Arabidopsis thaliana: one gene and its partner. The protein of the gene in region 1 interacts with the protein of each later gene in a pairwise test. Each region holds a gene or a part of one and is shown on either strand. Other genes may lie near its edges. The genes, in order: FIB2 and AT5G62440.

Evidence for each region.
Region 2: the proteins of FIB2 (region 1) and AT5G62440 interact in a two-hybrid assay, tested with the Arabidopsis thaliana proteins (one study listed by BioGRID).

Annotation. Positions count from the first base shown.
Region 1 is NC_003075.7:13,072,086-13,077,090, forward strand, and holds FIB2 (fibrillarin 2), read left to right. Parts: upstream 1-2,004; 5' UTR 2,005-2,153; coding exon 2,154-2,172; intron 2,173-2,414; coding exon 2,415-2,755; intron 2,756-2,848; coding exon 2,849-2,944; intron 2,945-3,028; coding exon 3,029-3,106; intron 3,107-3,193; coding exon 3,194-3,370; intron 3,371-3,477; exon of another isoform or gene 3,478-3,550; intron 3,551-3,784; coding exon 3,785-3,853; intron 3,854-3,937; coding exon 3,938-4,120; 3' UTR 4,121-4,347; downstream 4,348-5,005. Other genes in the region: DTX35 (detoxifying efflux carrier 35), read right to left, coding at 4,491-4,572, 4,872-4,939. UniProt on the Arabidopsis thaliana protein: S-adenosyl-L-methionine-dependent methyltransferase that has the ability to methylate both RNAs and proteins. Involved in pre-rRNA processing.
Region 2 is NC_003076.8:25,071,360-25,075,902, reverse strand, and holds AT5G62440 (EMB514 (DUF3223)), read left to right. Parts: upstream 1-1,833; 5' UTR 1,834-1,985; coding exon 1,986-2,282; intron 2,283-2,971; coding exon 2,972-3,283; 3' UTR 3,284-3,786; downstream 3,787-4,543. Other genes in the region: AT5G62460 (RING/FYVE/PHD zinc finger superfamily protein), read right to left, coding at 56-394, 707-709. UniProt on the Arabidopsis thaliana protein: May play a role in ribosome biogenesis and in determining the rate of cell division. Involved in a process essential for nuclear and nucleolar functions.

The DNA of each region.
Region 1 (5,005 bases):
CATTGCAAAGTGTGTTAGCTCATTATGCACATGGTGGTTTAGCTCTTTATGTAGATTGTTAGGATCTGGTTTGAAAAAATAAATAATAGTTACTTAACATTCATACCCAAAAAAATAATAAAGAATAGTTGATAATATTTCATGAAAATCGATTTGTTTTGGTGGACATACATCGTCGTCTCTACTCTATTGTCTCGATCGCAAGTAATATGACAAATAAAGCAGCAGCCCTAGCAATAAAACATGTGACTACTAAAATAGGAGGATTTATCTTTACTTGACGAACTATAAATTAAATATCTACTCTTTTACCTTGACTTTGAAAATTACTTTTTAAGATTGCCTTTTACAATTATGTGGAATAGCGGCACACATTTACGTAAATTTAACTTCAATTTAAAACAATGATTTATTCATTTTCATCATACAAACTTTTCAGCACATTTTCTCCTTTTTAATATAATTTTATATATTATAGATAGAGATATAGATCAAACAATGTATGACTTTAAACTTAGATTGTAAATTCTTCTTACTATGCTCGAAAATTTCATCTACGTATATAGATCTATTGTAAACCTAAGTTTAAAACGGAAATCAGTTATTGATAGTAATCTAGTAAGTTTAATCAACTATGCGTTATAACATAATGAAATCATATATACGAGCTTAGATATCTAATTCAGTTAATCAACAAGTCAACTAAACAAGGCTTCACTTTTCCACACCTCTACAGATCGAAATTATTATATATTCGAATTATGTAACTAATGTAAGTCTTGCAACGTGTGGATAGATACAAAATGGATATGTCCATAGGTATACATATTAAAAATATAACTAGAAATGGTATATTACTAACAAAATTTTACCCCCAAAGGTGGCCATCCACTAGTAGCCACATGCTTATCTAGTAGACATTGAACATGATAAAAAGTGCCAAATAAGTGGAATAATCAATGGGAATCTTCATTCCTATAAACAAAAACATTTTCAAGCCTATGACATAGCTAGCTACTCTACAACATGTATATGCCAATTGGGATATAAATGTATTAAAGCATAACCATTAATTTGACAAATAGAAATAAATAGTTCAGAATGTATAAGTTGAGAAAAGTTATAATGATTGGTAGGGAGAGACTCAAAAAGAAAAAAGGATGGGTAATGGGACCTATTTTCCCCAACATCCCACATGCACACTTCCCTCTCCATTCTCTCACATTTATTTCTTTCATTCTAATTTATCCATTCCGTGTGTAACATATTCACTAATAATCTCATCTCACTAACTCATTCATTGATTGTGATATGTTTATCTAGAATTAGTGTTTTAACACTGTGTCTACATATGATTTCCTTTTCATTGTATGTGAACATGTTAACTCACTAATCATTTTGTATTTTCGAGTTAACATGAGTCTCCACTTCGGTAGACTAAAGTAAAGATAGGTTTGAGTATAATAAAGTTTAAAATTTGCTTTAAAATCAATATTTATAAATAAGTTTTTATCATAAGTGATTTTTGTATGTTATATTGGACCTTGTATAAACAGACTACAGAAGAAAATTATTTATGAGAACTTGTAATGTTAGAGTGGACCTCGTATAAACTAATTATGTGGGCTTTTACCATAAACTATTTATGAAAATTATTATGGCCCACACCACTATAACTAAAGCCCACATATTTAGCAGCCCAGTTTCATTGTAAGAGACATGTTCGCTCTGGAACTAGAATTTTCTGGTTTTTGGGTATTTGTTTTCTTATGTGTAGAGAAATGATGGTAACGATTAAATGTTGTGTATTACAATTTACAATGGTAAGACGATTAATATATTTACACACAATTTTGTTGTTGCTGTAACACGTTAGTGTGTGTGATGATAGAATTTCATAAAGCTTTAACTACGAGGGGCAAAATGTTAATTCTAAATAGTTGACAGCAGAAAAAGATATGTATACATAATATAAGGATTAAAACGTAAATAATAATAAATAAGGCGAGTTAAATTAAAACCCTGTTAAAACCCTAGCTTGAAACACATGTATAAAAACACTTGCGAGCGCAGCTTCATCGCCATCGCCATTCTCTCTCTCATCAAAAGCTTTTCTCCTTGATTTTCGCATTCTTTAGAGTCTTAACGCAAAGATGAGACCTCCTCTAACTGGTAAGAACCCTAGCCGCCTCTTCTCTTTTCTTCATTGCTTGCTTATCAGATTAACAATGGCGAGTGACACTCTTAGCTCGTTTAGTCTTTAAAACTTTATGTCTTTAGCTGAACTGATTGTCAACTTTGTTCTTTTTTGCTTAGAACTGTATTGGGTCTGCGTTAGTTCTATCGGATATAGAGTTGATGGTTGGGTTTTATGTTAAACATGGAGTCTCTAATGAATGGTCTTTTGTGTTCAGGAAGTGGTGGTGGGTTCAGTGGTGGAAGAGGGCGTGGTGGATACAGTGGTGGTAGAGGTGACGGTGGATTCAGTGGTGGTCGAGGTGGCGGTGGTAGAGGAGGAGGAAGAGGTTTCAGCGACCGTGGTGGTCGCGGCAGAGGAAGAGGACCACCACGTGGTGGTGCTCGCGGCGGCAGAGGACCAGCTGGCCGTGGAGGCATGAAAGGAGGAAGCAAAGTGATTGTGGAACCTCACAGACACGCAGGAGTGTTCATTGCAAAGGGTAAAGAAGATGCCCTTGTTACCAAGAATTTGGTTCCTGGTGAAGCTGTCTACAACGAGAAGAGAATCTCTGTTCAGGTATTATAGAGGATTGATTAATTGATTGATGGTTTGTATTTGCACTCCTTTTGATGAATTTGTTTTTAATGGTTCTTGTGATTGAATCTGCAGAACGAAGATGGAACCAAGACTGAATACAGAGTTTGGAATCCTTTCCGTTCGAAGTTGGCTGCTGCTATTCTTGGTGGTGTTGATAACATCTGGATTGTAAGCATCAGCTTGTGTGAATCTTATTGTTGTTGTTTGCGAGACTTGGTTCATATATTGATTGTTGTTCCCGTTTCAATGTAGAAACCTGGTGCTAAAGTTCTATACCTTGGTGCTGCTTCTGGAACCACAGTCTCTCATGTGTCTGATCTTGTTGGCCCTGTAAGCAGAACCCGTCCTTTATGTTGTGATTATCAGGTTTTAGACGTGTATTGGAGTTTCTTATATATTGCCTTTGTGATCTGATAGGAGGGGTGTGTGTACGCGGTTGAGTTTTCTCATAGAAGTGGTAGAGATTTGGTGAACATGGCAAAGAAGAGAACCAATGTTATTCCAATCATCGAGGATGCTAGACACCCAGCTAAATACAGAATGCTTGTAGGCATGGTTGATGTTATCTTCTCTGATGTTGCTCAGCCAGATCAGGTTTGCTTCTTTTGTTTAACTCACAATGAATGTCTAAATATTTGCCTCAAAAAGCTTGACCCAATACCATTATATGTGTCCTTTGCTTTAAAATGGTGTTTTGATAATTGCAAATGATGATCTTACTTGGATTCCCCTTCAGATCATTATGGGTGATGCAATCTCCAAGTTTCTGATGTACTGAAAATTCTTGTTTTTGTTTTTGTTAAGCTTAATCTTATTTTACTATGTACTTGTTTTACAATTTCGTTTTTAAGAACAATACTAAATTTAAATGTCTATTATTGCTCGGTTTTGGTTCTCCTGATGTTAAACCTACTTGTTTTCTAAATGCCATTCAGCTTGTGGGTTGCTTCTAGTATACTTTATACTGTTTTGTTTATGAAATTTTCTGTGCCATTTAAAACCGTGCAGGCTAGGATCTTGGCTTTGAATGCATCATACTTCCTCAAGTCAGGAGGACACTTTGTGATCTCAATAAAGGTGGGTAGCAATCGAAACATTTATTTAATCCATGATCTCTCAAGAGAGAAAGATTAGTGAACATGTATTGTCTCATTTTTGCAGGCAAACTGTATCGACTCCACCGTTCCAGCAGAAGCTGTGTTCCAGACTGAAGTGAAGAAGCTTCAACAGGAGCAATTCAAACCAGCTGAGCAAGTGACGCTTGAGCCATTTGAGCGTGACCATGCATGTGTCGTTGGTGGCTACCGTATGCCTAAGAAGCCAAAGGCTGCTACTGCTGCTTAGAAGTTTTCTACTCTACGCTCTTCCCAGTACCTCAGATTTTGCTTTGTCTCGGTCTCTTTAGAATCTGTATGGTTTTAGGGTTTATCTTAAATTTTGAGCTTTGTAATCATTTTGAACCCTGGTTATGTTCACTTGGCTTCCAGCGCTAACTTTTTCGACAAGTTTTTGATATATGGAACAATTATAATAGAATTTTGTCGACTGAGGTTGATTTCTTTAAATAATGACACCTCGTAATGCAAATGTAAAACGCCGCAAGAATTTGCACACAAACAAAACAAAGTTTGAAGACACGTTGCATTTTTAGGACACAAGCCAAGGAAATGTAAATACAAAAAGCTCACGCAGAAACTGTAACAAAAAACTAATGTCAGAAGTGGGGTTTGAACCCACGCCCTCTTACGAAGACCAGAACTTGAGTCTGGCGCCTTAGACCACTCGGCCATCCTGACCTTCTTTATTAAATATCATTGACAACATATATAGCAGGATGAAAAAACTAGAATGGCTTATTCTCAAGCATCTGGAATTTTATTTGGGTTACAAATTTTTTTGATACATTTGGGTTACATGAGGAAAAGTAACTAACATTTGTAATGCAATTTTTCCTTTTGGAAGTAAGTAACAAAACATAACTGATGGAACAGTTTCCTACAATCTAAAACTCTAAATAGAACAATTTGGTGCCCAAACCAATGAAAGACAAACAAAAAGTCACTACTAAGCTTAACAAAAAAAAAACATCAATCACGCAAGTATATCCTTGGATGTCGTCTCACTCCCTCCCCATTTCTTCATACGTTCCATCGTCTCCTCCACCTGTTCATCACAGTTGAGATCGATTCAATTCAAGGAATGAAAAAGTGTATATAACAAACATGGTGT
Region 2 (4,543 bases), on another chromosome or scaffold:
GAAAGATACCAACAAAAACAAATAAAACAATGAGATTCATTGATAAAATTATCACCTTCAAACTGCCACTACAAGAACAAGGGGACTCGAGGTTCTTAACGGAATCCTCCTCTTGGCATATACGACATTCAACCGATTGGATGAGCGGTTCCTCTTCATCATCAACATCGCGTTGTTCCGTTGTCTCTTCTTCCTCGGTTTTCTTACCATCCATAGATTTAGTAGTAGACAGGCTTGTGGAACCCTGAGCTCTAGAACTCTCTCCAGAAGATTCAATAGATTGATTGGATCCTCTATCTGAGTTTAAACTTTCAGGTTTCACGAGACGGTCAGTACTTGAACTCTGATCATCAGCCATCTCTCTTTTAGCCTCAATGTGTAAAAAAACGTTGTCCTGTTAAAAACCAAGAAAGATCCAAAGATTCAAAATAAAAATCTCATAACTCTTATAATGATAAATGTTCCATCATCAACACAAAAATCTCCATTTCTTTGAATCGAAACATCATAATTGAGCTCAGACAATCGATTTCATTTCATTAAAGCGGAACAATTCAGGGAAAATGTCTTGGTGGAAGAGATTAGGATCTGAGTTTAAAATATGTCTTTGTCTCCAAATTTCCCCAAATTTTCAAGACATAAACCTAATCGGAAAATCCCCAAATTTCAGAATCACATCTCAACCATGAAAACAAAAGAGAGATACCATTCGATTCCATCACAATTCAGGAATGAAATTGAAACCCCAAAAGTCACAGAAATCAAAATTCCCAAATAGCAGAATCAACCAACCATAACCCAAGAAGAAAATGAAAGAAAAAAAGAGATAAAAGAGAAGATGATCAAATTATGATTACCTATAGAAGAAGAAATATCGTGAATCGCAGAAAATGGGGGAAAGAAGCTCTCTTTCGATTTCTTGAAGGGCACAAACAGCTCTCAAGATGAAATTCGGACAAATGTGTTTTCTTGTTTGATGTTCGGTCTGGAAAAATATTCAGATAAGTAAATCAAAATTTCGAAGCGCGTGTAAACAGATAAATATATAATTAAATACACAAAACCGGAGTTATGGAGGTTGACGATTTGACACGGTAACGTTATGATAATCAGATTTTCACAAAAAAAAGTTTTTTTTTTTTTTGTACCTATCTATCTTGGTTCTTTTTAGATTTTAGATAATATTACAAAAATAACTCTTTACCAAAATACGATAAAATAATTCCATTATTTTTAGAAAATTTAAGATTGAGGTGTTTGACTGTTGATAGATAATATGGTAAGATTGACTAGAAGCAAAAAAAATATATTCCAATTATGTCAAATTTTTGAAAAATTTAAGAAGTTCCATTAATTCCACGAGATGTAAATAATTTCAAAAGATGTTCGTTTGACTTTGACATTTTCCTCTTTGGCAAAAATTGTGATTGATCAATAAGTTAAGTCTCCAAGATATCCCGACAGACTGAACATCTAAAACGTTTAGGTATCCCAAAAATTATTTTTAATAACATTGTAAATTATATCAACATTTTTTATCCAAAAAAAGTATAATATGATTTATTTGTTAAACTATTATATTAAGATTTGAGTTTTTATTCTATTATTTAGAATTACTGACTATTATCCAAATTTTCTACAACAGTAAAAGTAATTTGTAGACTAAAAAAATATCTTGAGATGATTAATAAAAAAATATATTAGAAAAATGTAGACTTTAAAATGAAAAGATTTAAGAGACGTAAAAATAATAATTGGACAGATCAATGACGACAAATTAGTTACTACATTGAAAATCCTGGTTTTCATGTAGTGTATGCCGTCGAGCCAAAAAATCAAATAGACCGAACCAGTTCGGTTCAATCGGAAACCAAAGTCATATAAATATACCGCTTAGACGATTTCTGTAGGTCACACACCCTCAAGCTTAAACCCTAGAAATCGTAGAAAGGTGAAAAAAAGGCGGAAGCTTTACTAGCTTAACAATGGCTGAAGAACAAGAGATCGTCGATTCCCTGTCAGCGGAAGTGAACCCAGACCAGAAAGTGGACATGGAAGTCGAAACCGCGACCCCGAAAGCCGAGACCGGCGATGAGAAACGTGAGAGAGAGGAGACAGAGGAAGAAGAGAACGGAGGTGAATCGAAGAAGCAGAAGGTTGGAGAGGAAGAGAAGTCAGGTCCGGTTAAACTTGGTCCCAAGGAGTTTGTTACCTCTGTGGCGATGTTCGATTACTTTGTCAAGTTTTTACACTTTTGGCCAACTGATCTCGATGTTAATAAGGTAATACATATTTGGGTTTACTCTTCGTCTTTGTCTTTTGGCTTTGTTTATTGTAAAGTTTCAAATTTTTTGGAAATATTCATTCCTTTGCTCGAGACTTATATAGGTTAATCTAAGAGCTCTGATTGTGATTATTAAGTTCTGTGATGTGTTTAGGAAGATGTTTTATCAATGAATCTGATGATGATCGTGCTTTGTATTTAAACTAAAAGAAATTGAGAATTGGGTTCGCCTTTGTATTGGTCATATGATTTGATTTTGGATTCAGTGTTTGGTGTTAGAATTTTGTTTTTGTCTCAAATTAGTGGTTGTTTACAATGATTGTGGATATTGTATTATGTTTAGGGAGATGATTGTGGATATTGTATTATGTTTAGGGAGAGGATTAGTGAAGTGGAGATAGCTTGTAAATTGGACTCCTTTGCAGCTTTTTTACTAGTTGAAAAGTTCAAATGTATCGTGTTCTTACTGATTATATGATTGTGGATTGTGTGTGAATTAGAAAGTTTTTTTGGGTCTTGATGTCATATAATGGTTAGAAGAATGAAGTTAATGTCAAATTTTGAGGGCACAAATAAAAGATAAAACATTGCATAGTCATGTAATATATTACAGTTGTTGCAGTTTCTTTTGAGCTTCCAACTAACTAACTCGTTGTACTGAACTTTGTTCTGGATTGTACATTTCAGTATGAGCACATGGTGCTGCTAGATCTGATTAAGAAGGGCCATTCTGAGCCTGAAAAGAAGATTGGAGGAGGAATCAAAACCTTCCAAGTAAGAACCCACCCAATGTGGAAAAGCAGATGCTTCTTTCTGGTTAGGGAAGACGATACTGCAGACGATTTCAGCTTCAGGAAGTGTGTTGATCAAATCCTCCCATTGCCTGAAAACATGAAGACTCCTGGAGCTAACGGCAATGGACATGGTGGAGGTCGCGGTGGCGGTGGTGGAAGAAGAGGCGGTCGTGGTGGTGGTAGAGGAGGGAGATTCAGAAGATGAATATGCTGACACTTGATGCCTTATTTCAAAAGAAAATTTTGAAAATTTCAGATTTAGTTCTTTTGCCAAAAACTTTAAAAGTTATGATCTTGTCTAATGCAACTGCTTTTTGTTGGAGAAAAATTGTCAGTTTATATAACCCATTATTGCTGAAGAAGAAGAATATTGTCCCTACTATCTTGACAACATCAGAAAAAAACACAGACGCGTCAATAGAACTAAAAATCTGGTTGATCTAGTTTTTAAAAACCAATAATTCAAAAACGAAAAACTCAAATCAAAATCTAGATGAAAAAAAAACACTTTCCATTGATAGTGTAGTGTTGATCTGGTTGCTAAATGATAATGTTAAATAAAAAGAATTGGGGAAGTTATGAAAAACCGACATTTTGACTTTGGTAACTTACTGTGTGTGACATGTTCACCGTTTACGACCCTTCTAAGAGAAAGACAATGCCCTCAAACTAAAGCTGTCTTAAATCTTAACCCTGCTAAAAAATGATTACATGAAGTGATAACACTGGTTGGCACACGTCTTGGAATAATGGATTATTTTGAAACACATTATGAATTATAAAGAAACATTATCCGATATTCGGTATTCGGATTAATATTCCAAATTGTCTTCTTACACAATATACAAATAGACACATACACAAATTGTCTTTTGAAGATGCAACAAATTTTGTTTTGTTAAGCCTTCTTAGATTTAGGAAGCTTCTTAACTACGATCTTACTGCAACACAATCAGTTTGTGAAATCTATGATCTGACCAAGATGCAGGTGAGTAAGGGACCTACAGTAGAAGTTGACATGGAAAAAAGGCAGAGTTTGGTAAATCATAAAATGTGGCAGAGACCTTTTTGGTAATAGCCAATGAGAGAGCACCTCATATCTATTACCTTCTTCTGCAGTCTTCTTATCTTAACGTACAACCGTTCACTTAATGAAATTCGTCAATGGATGTTATATGGTTGTGAAGTTTTTTTTTTGTTTTTTTTTTTATAATTGATTTTCTATTAATGGTTGTGATTAATCTTTGTGTATAAAAGAAGGGTATATGTTTCTCCAAACCAAAAAGTGTAGATCGTTTTCAAATGAAGGATTTTTATCCTTCTACCAACCAATTAAGAAATTGCACGTAACAAGACAGCTCTCGTGTGAGCTGCACCAAAGCCATCCCCGCGATGCTGACATTTACCTACCCAAAAGTTTCTAAACAGTTTACATAATTGTTTTTTTTTCTTCAATTCAACAATA